3 linked regions of the Saccharomyces cerevisiae S288C genome follow. The protein of the gene in region 3 interacts with the protein of the main gene of each other region in a biochemical or structural test. Each region holds a gene or a part of one and is shown on either strand. Other genes may lie near its edges. The genes, in order: SRP1, NUP100 and KAP95.

The links.
Region 1: the proteins of KAP95 (region 3) and SRP1 form a complex in vitro, tested with the Saccharomyces cerevisiae proteins (6 studies listed by BioGRID).
Region 2: the proteins of KAP95 (region 3) and NUP100 form a complex in vitro, tested with the Saccharomyces cerevisiae proteins (4 studies listed by BioGRID).

What each region holds. Positions count from the first base shown.
Region 1 is NC_001146.8:282,094-285,928, forward strand, and holds SRP1 (karyopherin alpha), read left to right. Parts: upstream 1-2,166; coding exon 2,167-3,795; downstream 3,796-3,835. Other genes in the region: YNL190W (uncharacterized protein), read left to right, coding at 302-916. UniProt on the Saccharomyces cerevisiae protein: Functions in nuclear protein import as an adapter protein for importin beta nuclear receptors. Binds specifically and directly to substrates containing either a simple or bipartite NLS motif. Promotes docking of import substrates to the nuclear envelope.
Region 2 is NC_001143.9:308,081-311,915, forward strand, and holds the start of NUP100 (FG-nucleoporin NUP100), read left to right. Parts: upstream 1-2,118; coding exon 2,119-3,835. Other genes in the region: YKL068W-A (uncharacterized protein), read left to right, coding at 1,126-1,362. UniProt on the Saccharomyces cerevisiae protein: Functions as a component of the nuclear pore complex (NPC).
Region 3 is NC_001144.5:824,814-828,413, reverse strand, and holds the start of KAP95 (karyopherin beta), read left to right. Parts: upstream 1-2,000; coding exon 2,001-3,600. Other genes in the region: DIC1 (Dic1p), read left to right, coding at 541-1,437. UniProt on the Saccharomyces cerevisiae protein: Importin beta subunit that functions in nuclear protein import through association with the importin alpha subunit, which binds to the classical nuclear localization signal (cNLS) in cargo substrates.

The sequences.
Region 1 (3,835 bases), on a different chromosome or scaffold from region 3:
TTTGTTCTTGAATGTAATAAAGACTTCTGTTTTATTTTGTTTTGTTATTTAGAAACAGTCTATCTGGTTTAACTTAAACGAGTGAGCTTAAGATAATCTGACTACAAGAAAACCAAGCTTCTATTACTTTGTTTCTTTCTCTTTTTTCTTTTTTGAATAAAGAATTTTCCTTTAAGGAGTAACTTAAGCATTTAGCTGCACATTAAACACTTTTTTTTTTACTTCTAACTCACACACTTTTGGAAGAACATTTATTTTTTCGACCTTCTTTCCCAAATACCCAGCGCTTTATAATTGAAATATGAAGTTCTCTTCTGTTACTGCTATTACTCTAGCCACCGTTGCCACCGTTGCCACTGCTAAGAAGGGTGAACATGATTTCACTACCACTTTAACTTTGTCATCGGACGGTAGTTTAACTACTACCACCTCTACTCATACCACTCACAAGTATGGTAAGTTCAACAAGACTTCCAAGTCCAAGACCCCAAACCACACTGGTACTCACAAGTACGGTAAGTTCAACAAGACCTCCAAGTCTAAGACCCCAAACCATACCGGTACTCACAAGTATGGTAAGTTCAACAAGACTTCCAAGTCCAAGACTCCAAACCATACCGGTACTCACAAGTACGGTAAGTTCAACAAGACCTCCAAATCCAAGACTCCAAACCACACTGGTACTCACAAGTACGGTAAGTTCAACAAGACCTCCAAGTCTAAGACCCCAAACCATACCGGTACTCACAAGTATGGTAAGTTCAACAAAACCAAACATGACACTACCACTTATGGTCCTGGTGAAAAGGCCCGTAAGAACAATGCCGCCCCTGGTCCATCTAATTTCAACTCCATAAAATTGTTTGGTGTTACCGCTGGTAGTGCTGCCGTAGCCGGTGCCTTATTACTATTATAATAAGCTTTGAATTGGATTTGAGAAATAAAGGAAGACCTAATTTTCTCCGGTTTTATGTTTTTTACCCCCCCTACCCCCTTCATCCTGAAGTAGTAAATTCTTTTTATTATACTATTTCGACTACTATGTGTTTACGTGTGCTTGTGCAAAAGTGAAATTTATTGTGATTGTGTTCTTTTTCTCTTTTTTTTATACAAAAAATGGAGAAAGGAAATTGGGACCTACGATTTAAAGAAGTGTTATTTCCTATTTCAACGAGTTAAATGAATGTGTGTGTTTCGTTGACTTGTAAGGATAGAGAAAGATCATCCAACTTTTAATCATGGTTTCCTTTCCTTTTTTATAGCAATCGAATGTGGAAGGAAAATAGAGCGGAGCTTGATAATTGTGTGTGTGAATGTCTTGCTTTCTCTTTTTCCTTATTTCTACGCTATACAAAAAGTGTGCTTTTTTCTTCTATTTTTTTTTCTTTAATGACTTTGTGTGTTTATTACCCTTTAATTAATTACCAAAAAAAAAATAAACTACGTTTTTAATTTCTAATTTATCAAAATTTCTTTTTTTCACATATAACTATATATTTATATGTCACCCTATTCAAGTTCGTTAGTTTTCTTTCAACGGTCCAAAATTTGGGATATCTTGTGTGTACTTTACTTTCTCCACTAACGATAAGACATCTGCTATTAGCCTATATTGGGCTTAATAAAAAAGGTATCTTCGTCTAGAATGATATATGTATACAATCAAAAGTTTAAAGCTAAATTTTTTATTAACAAGTTACTTTATCAAGTAGTAGTTAACTTAATCGACCGAATTAATTCAATAGTAATCAATTCCAATGCACCGAAGAGTTTGCCAGTCGAACTATCTAAGTGATACTTGTCCATTTTTCCTCGAAGCGCAAAAGAGATTACATCACCATTAACGAATTTTCTTCTTTTCTTTTTTCTTCAAGAGTTGATGGGGAAGGACTAGGAAGGAAACGGTTCAGATACGAATTTAGTGATTAATCATATTCTGCTCAAGAAGCGACTTGTAAGGTAAGGAAAACCCGCATTCACTGACGGAATAAGGAACAGGACCAACTATAAGCCTCCTTTTACACTCACATCTTCAGGCTTTATTTTGTTAAGACTGAAACATTTCCCACTTAATTGAAGTTACATCGTTATTTTATAGAACGATCTTTCTATTTTGTTTTTTGTTCACTTGATATACCTTCCCTTCTACATAACAAATTAATAAATATGGATAATGGTACAGATTCTTCCACGAGCAAGTTCGTTCCCGAATATAGACGAACAAACTTTAAGAATAAAGGCAGATTCTCTGCAGATGAACTTCGTCGTCGTAGAGATACACAACAGGTCGAATTAAGAAAAGCAAAAAGAGATGAAGCTTTGGCCAAAAGAAGAAACTTTATTCCCCCAACTGATGGCGCTGATTCTGATGAAGAAGATGAGAGCTCCGTTTCTGCGGACCAACAATTTTACAGCCAGTTGCAGCAAGAACTACCACAAATGACTCAGCAACTTAACTCTGATGATATGCAAGAGCAATTGAGTGCTACTGTTAAGTTTAGACAAATTTTGTCTAGAGAACACCGCCCTCCAATTGATGTCGTCATTCAAGCCGGTGTTGTTCCAAGATTAGTAGAATTTATGCGTGAAAACCAACCTGAAATGTTACAATTGGAGGCTGCTTGGGCTTTGACTAACATTGCATCAGGTACATCTGCTCAAACAAAAGTGGTTGTTGATGCTGACGCTGTACCTCTTTTCATTCAACTATTATATACCGGCTCCGTTGAAGTTAAAGAACAAGCCATTTGGGCCTTAGGTAACGTTGCAGGTGATTCAACTGACTACAGAGACTACGTTTTACAATGTAATGCCATGGAGCCAATTTTGGGTCTTTTTAACTCCAATAAACCATCTTTGATCAGGACCGCTACGTGGACTTTATCCAATTTATGCAGGGGTAAAAAACCACAACCAGATTGGTCAGTGGTCTCACAAGCGTTGCCAACCTTAGCGAAATTAATCTATTCGATGGACACTGAAACTTTAGTTGATGCTTGTTGGGCTATCTCTTATCTATCTGACGGACCACAAGAAGCTATTCAAGCAGTGATCGATGTTAGAATTCCTAAAAGACTTGTTGAATTACTGAGCCATGAATCGACTTTAGTCCAGACTCCTGCTTTAAGAGCTGTAGGTAATATAGTCACTGGTAATGACTTACAGACTCAGGTCGTTATAAATGCTGGTGTCTTACCTGCGTTAAGACTTCTGCTAAGCTCTCCAAAAGAAAATATCAAGAAAGAAGCGTGTTGGACCATTTCCAATATTACGGCTGGTAATACTGAACAAATTCAAGCGGTAATTGACGCGAACTTGATTCCTCCATTAGTTAAACTTTTGGAAGTTGCAGAATATAAAACTAAAAAAGAAGCTTGTTGGGCTATTTCCAATGCCTCTTCAGGTGGTTTACAAAGACCAGATATCATAAGATATTTAGTATCTCAAGGGTGTATAAAACCATTGTGTGATTTGCTAGAAATTGCTGACAACAGAATAATTGAAGTTACCTTAGATGCTCTTGAAAATATTTTAAAGATGGGTGAAGCTGACAAAGAAGCTCGTGGTTTGAATATCAATGAAAATGCCGATTTTATCGAAAAGGCTGGTGGTATGGAAAAGATTTTCAACTGTCAACAAAATGAAAATGACAAGATTTATGAAAAAGCATACAAAATCATTGAAACCTACTTTGGTGAAGAAGAAGACGCCGTAGACGAAACTATGGCTCCACAAAATGCCGGTAATACTTTCGGCTTTGGTTCTAATGTCAACCAACAATTCAATTTTAACTAACTGAATGTGAAGAAAAAGATCAACTAAATAAGTTTATTCA
Region 2 (3,835 bases), on a different chromosome or scaffold from region 3:
TCTTTGCTTGGTAAGAAAAAAACGTCAACGAAAATGACGGAGATATCTGACGGAAAAAAAAATTGATTTCGCCCAGGATCGAACTGGGGACGTTCTGCGTGTTAAGCAGATGCCATAACCGACTAGACCACGAAACCACTTAATTGTTGAATAACGGACATCTAAAGTCATATCTATAGTGCAGCAAGTTCTTCTTCAGCTCACCCCAGTCTCGCTAAAGGCATGCTTACTTTGCCGTAAAGAAGAAAGGAACGTTCAAAATGTGTTTGATGCGTAACTGTGATGATTTTCTATCATTTACTTGCATGATATCGGTGAAAATTCTAGCTAGATTTATCAATGCATAGAAGCAGTAAGTGATGCCACAGATATGAGCTTTTCTCTGTGGCGAGGTCTTTGAGAAATTAAGTGGCTTGTACAGTTTTCACATGACGATTGGAAATGTTGAAAAAAGAGCCTAAAAATAGGCCTTATCGAACAACATTAAACTAATAATCTTCTGGATGCGATAGTCTTACTTGATAAAAATCATTGGCGATATTGTGTTACCTGGATTATCAAGCTCGCCACTAAAGGTGTCTGGATCCTTACTCAATACAAAGTCCAAGGAAAGGTGTGCCACAGGAAGAGGTAGCATCCCTTTATTTCTTTTCAAGGAAAGAAGCATTTTCAATCACATATGTATACAATAGTCTTCCGTGTGGCTGCACCGCACCACCTTGCAGGTCCCGTGTATGTAGGAGTCGCATGCGAATAAAAAATTGAGAAAGATCATGGGGTTTTTTGTTCACGCGGGCCGCAGTTGTGGCTCCTCTGTCACTTTTTTGCCCTCTGCTAAGGGCAAAAAAGAAAAAAAAACGCAACGAGAAAATTAAAAGTGTGGCATTTCGACATCTATCGCCATTCGTGCGGCCATTTCTCGAAACAACGCTAAACTTTTGTTTCGACTGTGAGGCCCTAGAACAGTTCGATTCTGATGTAGGCAATGGAAGAAACAATCATATATAACTACAGAACCTAATGTTACATGCTTGCATCTCTCAGCTCCCGCGAATTTTCAAGTGAGACTTAATGGTAGCCATCTAGTAACTCATAAATCAACGACATTATATATCATCAACTACAATGCAGGCAAACCATTCCGTCAGTTACCTTTACGAATCAAGTACTTCAAAGAGGTCAAATGGGCTCTTTTCTCAAACACAAAAGCAAGGAAGTTTTCAAAAAGCTTTAAGTCAAACTCAGGAAGAAATAGAAGATGAAGACCTGATGGTAGACCTCAACACAGGATCTTTAACTCCCGTTAAGTTAAAATATTGGACTCAAATGAGTGCTATGACGGAAAAATTTGGTAAACTGTGAGACCAATTTTGGCGGTAATTTCGTTTAGCTGTTTTATTTTCACATTTTTAATTGTCAATGCTGGAGGTTGTTAAAGTTTGGCTAGCTGTTCTGAACAATCCTTGTATACCGGTGAGACTTTTTGTTATAGATATTGGCGATATTCATTTTTTAGGAAGGTGTTTTTATAGATTTTTCAATTTTTTTTGTGTAGATGCATGTTTTGATTACTTATGCATAGTACGAATTTTTAGTTTATTAAGCTATAGAGGTTTTTTTTTTTTTCACCTCTTTACCACAAATTTAATAGCTATTGTGTAGAATAACTTTTAATGGAAAACATTTGCAGTATTTTAGTATTTTTCTACCTGTTTATTGCAAGTAAGGGCAGCATTATCCTGATAGGAGTAGAGGTTAACCGCACATCGGAATGAGACTTCTCCAAGAACGTTCTCAAAGTAAAACATTTAGCATTAGGAAATTTCTTTGGTCGATTATTAGACAAAGATTAGATTGTATTATGTTCTGATGCTTAGTTAGAACGGAAAGTGTTACCCATCTTGCAATCACCGTGACACCTTAAATATTTGCCGTAAGCGAAGAAAAAAAGCATGAAAAAAAAAAGCATATTTATGCTGAAGTCATCTACAAATGACCACCGCTTTTGGACCTGAAGAGGAGAAGAAAATAACATATCGTAGAACAGTCTTTGTTAACCAAAATATTTTAGCTTTGATTCCGGACTATTAGTACATTGAATTTTTTCAGGTACTAACAATGTTTGGCAACAATAGACCAATGTTTGGAGGGAGCAACCTTTCCTTTGGATCAAATACGTCATCCTTCGGTGGGCAACAATCGCAACAACCAAACTCTCTTTTTGGAAATAGCAATAACAACAACAATTCCACCAGTAACAATGCCCAATCAGGATTTGGTGGATTCACTTCTGCCGCTGGCAGTAATAGTAACAGTTTATTTGGAAATAACAATACTCAAAATAATGGGGCATTTGGCCAGTCAATGGGTGCCACCCAAAACTCACCATTTGGGTCGTTAAACTCCTCAAATGCCAGTAATGGGAACACTTTTGGAGGATCCAGTTCAATGGGTTCTTTTGGTGGTAATACCAATAATGCATTTAATAATAACAGTAACAGTACCAATTCCCCGTTTGGTTTCAATAAACCGAATACAGGAGGGACCTTGTTTGGTTCGCAGAATAATAATAGTGCAGGTACTTCTAGTTTATTTGGCGGCCAAAGTACAAGTACCACTGGCACATTCGGAAACACCGGAAGTAGTTTCGGAACAGGCTTAAATGGCAACGGCTCTAACATATTTGGGGCAGGGAACAACTCACAAAGCAATACTACCGGCAGCTTGTTTGGCAACCAACAATCTTCAGCGTTTGGGACAAATAATCAACAAGGAAGTCTATTTGGACAGCAATCTCAAAACACCAATAATGCGTTTGGTAATCAAAATCAGCTGGGGGGCAGTTCCTTCGGATCAAAACCAGTTGGTTCAGGGTCGCTGTTTGGCCAGAGCAACAACACTTTAGGTAATACAACCAATAATAGAAATGGATTGTTTGGTCAAATGAATTCCAGTAACCAAGGCAGTTCTAACAGTGGATTGTTTGGACAAAACTCGATGAACAGCAGCACTCAAGGGGTATTTGGACAAAACAATAATCAAATGCAAATTAATGGCAATAACAACAACAGTTTATTTGGAAAGGCAAACACCTTTTCAAATTCCGCATCAGGAGGTTTATTTGGCCAAAATAATCAACAGCAAGGGTCCGGGCTGTTTGGTCAAAATTCTCAGACAAGCGGTAGTAGTGGACTTTTTGGGCAGAATAATCAGAAACAGCCCAATACTTTTACCCAATCTAATACAGGAATAGGTCTCTTTGGACAGAACAACAACCAGCAACAACAATCTACAGGTTTGTTTGGAGCCAAACCAGCAGGTACCACAGGATCTCTTTTCGGTGGTAATTCATCAACCCAGCCTAACTCTCTTTTCGGTACTACCAATGTACCTACCTCTAATACACAGTCACAACAAGGAAATAGTCTTTTTGGTGCCACGAAGCTGACCAACATGCCCTTTGGAGGAAATCCCACTGCAAACCAGTCAGGGAGTGGAAACAGTCTATTCGGAACTAAACCTGCCTCCACTACCGGCTCATTATTTGGAAACAACACAGCTTCTACGACAGTACCTTCCACGAATGGATTGTTTGGTAACAACGCTAACAATTCAACTAGCACTACGAATACGGGACTTTTCGGTGCAAAGCCTGATTCTCAGTCCAAACCTGCATTAGGGGGAGGGTTATTCGGCAATTCAAACTCGAATTCTTCCACAATCGGCCAAAACAAACCAGTTTTTGGAGGCACAACCCAAAATACAGGACTCTTTGGCGCCACCGGCACGAACTCTTCAGCAGTTGGTTCAACTGGTAAACTTTTTGGCCAGAATA
Region 3 (3,600 bases):
GACAAAGAAGGCATTAACCTCGTTGAGTGAAAAGAGTTGTGCTTTTCACAGCATGAGTATTCCCCCCCACTATATATGAGCAATCAAAATACGCCATACTCATCCATGCGATGCTCAACCAACTGGTTTATATCGTGAGTTCTTGGCAGAACCATCCTCAATGCCGGGGACCCTAAATTTAATCTTCGTTCTTTGCGGATACGGTCACGCATCCGCAGAACAGCGCATCCGCTGTCGTTGTTGGAGTTATGGCCGCGATAGTAGGAACGGTCGCAGAAGGTATCGCGTCGCAATCTCAGTTGAGTGCCAAGGAAAGGGCCCTCTCCACTGTACGTCGTAGACATGTTTGTATAAAAGGGCTGCAAGGTGTGGTCTTTGGCAAGCGATTACGCTGCAATGTTGGGGGCAGGAAACGGTCGGGCGGTCGGCTTGTAGTGTATATATATATATGGATATACATAATCGTATGCATATTTATGTGTAGAGGTTCGTTTCTCTTGCTCTGAAAGTGTCGAAAAGATAACGCAACAGCTGGACGGCATGTCAACCAACGCAAAAGAGTCTGCCGGTAAGAATATCAAGTATCCATGGTGGTACGGAGGTGCAGCGGGTATCTTTGCTACCATGGTGACACATCCTCTTGACTTGGCCAAAGTCAGACTGCAGGCGGCTCCTATGCCCAAGCCCACACTCTTCAGGATGTTGGAGAGTATCTTGGCGAATGAAGGTGTGGTGGGGTTATATTCCGGCCTGAGCGCTGCTGTGTTGAGGCAATGTACATACACGACGGTGAGATTCGGTGCATACGACTTGTTGAAAGAGAATGTGATCCCACGCGAGCAATTGACTAACATGGCGTATCTTTTACCTTGCTCCATGTTCAGTGGTGCCATTGGGGGGCTTGCAGGGAATTTTGCAGATGTTGTAAATATCAGAATGCAAAACGACTCTGCTTTGGAGGCAGCGAAGAGGAGAAACTACAAAAACGCTATCGATGGTGTGTACAAGATATATCGCTACGAGGGTGGACTGAAAACCTTGTTTACCGGTTGGAAGCCTAACATGGTTAGGGGCATACTGATGACGGCAAGTCAGGTCGTTACGTATGACGTGTTTAAGAACTACTTGGTCACAAAATTAGATTTCGACGCATCCAAGAACTATACACACTTGACAGCGTCCCTGTTGGCTGGCCTGGTGGCCACCACTGTGTGCTCTCCAGCAGACGTCATGAAGACACGTATCATGAACGGCAGCGGAGACCATCAACCGGCTTTGAAGATCCTTGCCGACGCTGTCCGCAAAGAGGGCCCATCTTTCATGTTCCGGGGGTGGTTGCCAAGTTTCACTAGACTGGGTCCATTCACAATGTTAATTTTCTTTGCAATTGAGCAATTGAAAAAACATAGGGTTGGCATGCCAAAGGAAGACAAGTAGGCAGATTTATATACATATAAACATAAAGATACATAGCAAATAAAGAAAGCAAGAAGAGTAAAGCTTGTACACGGTTGGTAGGTATAACGCAAAGGACGCTTTCGGTATTTTTTTTTCTATTCTTGTTCTTGTTGGAAACGTTGCAACCATGTCCCGATACATAGATAACCAGCATTCCTCATGCAGCGATCAAATGGATAGTCAGTCGCAGGCCACTTCCTACCGATGTTCCGATAAATGTATCATGTTAAACGAGTATAGAATTCTTTGGCGAGAAAGAAAATTTTCGAATTTTGCTGGAAGGGCAATAAGGAAAAACTTGGATGAGAGAACCAAGGAAAAAAAAATAAAAAAAAAAGAAAAATAACTGCGAAGAGAGGCAAATATACGTAAACTCTCCAGTTTCTTTTCTTGTATTTTTCGCTTAAAGAACAGATATCATTAAGAAGTAAAGGATAATATTACTGGAGAATTATCTGTCCTTTTTCTCTTTATATTTGCAAGGTTTTTAGGGGTAGAATAAAACTGATTTAACAGTAATCCATCATATCACACAAGGAGCAATGTCCACCGCTGAATTTGCTCAACTATTGGAGAACAGTATCTTAAGTCCCGACCAAAACATTCGGTTGACTAGTGAAACGCAATTAAAGAAATTATCTAATGACAACTTCTTACAATTTGCAGGTCTTTCTTCGCAAGTGCTTATCGATGAAAATACAAAGCTAGAAGGGCGTATTCTAGCGGCGCTAACTTTGAAGAACGAGCTGGTGTCCAAGGACTCAGTCAAGACGCAGCAATTTGCACAACGTTGGATTACACAGGTTAGTCCAGAAGCTAAAAACCAAATTAAAACTAACGCGCTGACCGCATTGGTCTCCATAGAACCGCGTATAGCAAATGCAGCAGCTCAATTGATTGCGGCTATAGCAGATATTGAGTTGCCCCATGGCGCATGGCCAGAGTTGATGAAAATTATGGTTGACAATACAGGTGCGGAACAACCAGAAAATGTCAAGAGAGCCTCTTTATTGGCCTTGGGTTATATGTGTGAAAGTGCAGACCCTCAAAGTCAAGCCTTAGTTTCTTCATCAAACAATATCTTAATCGCTATTGTCCAGGGTGCGCAATCTACGGAAACTTCCAAAGCAGTCAGACTGGCAGCTCTGAATGCTCTTGCAGACTCTTTAATTTTCATCAAAAATAACATGGAACGCGAAGGTGAAAGAAACTACCTTATGCAAGTCGTCTGTGAAGCCACTCAAGCTGAAGATATAGAAGTTCAAGCAGCTGCCTTTGGTTGTTTGTGTAAAATCATGTCACTATACTATACATTTATGAAACCTTACATGGAGCAAGCCCTATATGCATTGACCATAGCTACAATGAAATCTCCAAATGATAAAGTAGCTTCCATGACTGTGGAATTCTGGTCCACTATTTGTGAAGAAGAAATCGATATTGCCTATGAGCTCGCTCAATTTCCTCAATCTCCTTTACAGAGTTATAATTTCGCTCTCTCTTCTATTAAAGATGTTGTCCCCAATTTGTTGAACCTTCTAACGAGACAAAATGAAGATCCAGAAGATGACGATTGGAATGTTTCCATGTCCGCAGGTGCATGCTTGCAGTTGTTTGCCCAAAACTGTGGCAATCATATCTTAGAACCTGTATTGGAATTTGTTGAACAAAATATTACCGCTGACAACTGGAGGAATCGTGAAGCTGCTGTAATGGCCTTTGGTTCCATTATGGATGGCCCTGATAAGGTCCAAAGAACCTATTACGTTCACCAAGCCTTACCATCTATTTTGAATTTAATGAACGATCAATCCCTACAAGTTAAGGAAACCACTGCTTGGTGTATTGGTAGAATTGCTGATTCTGTTGCTGAATCTATCGACCCACAACAGCATCTTCCAGGTGTCGTTCAAGCTTGTTTAATTGGGTTGCAAGATCACCCAAAAGTGGCCACAAACTGTTCTTGGACCATTATCAACTTAGTCGAACAATTAGCAGAAGCCACACCATCTCCAATCTATAACTTCTATCCCGCTCTTGTAGATGGTTTGATCGGTGCTGCAAATAGAATTGATAATGAGTTCAATGCCCGTGCATCCGCCTTTTCAGCCTTGACAACAATGGTTGAATACGCCACGGACA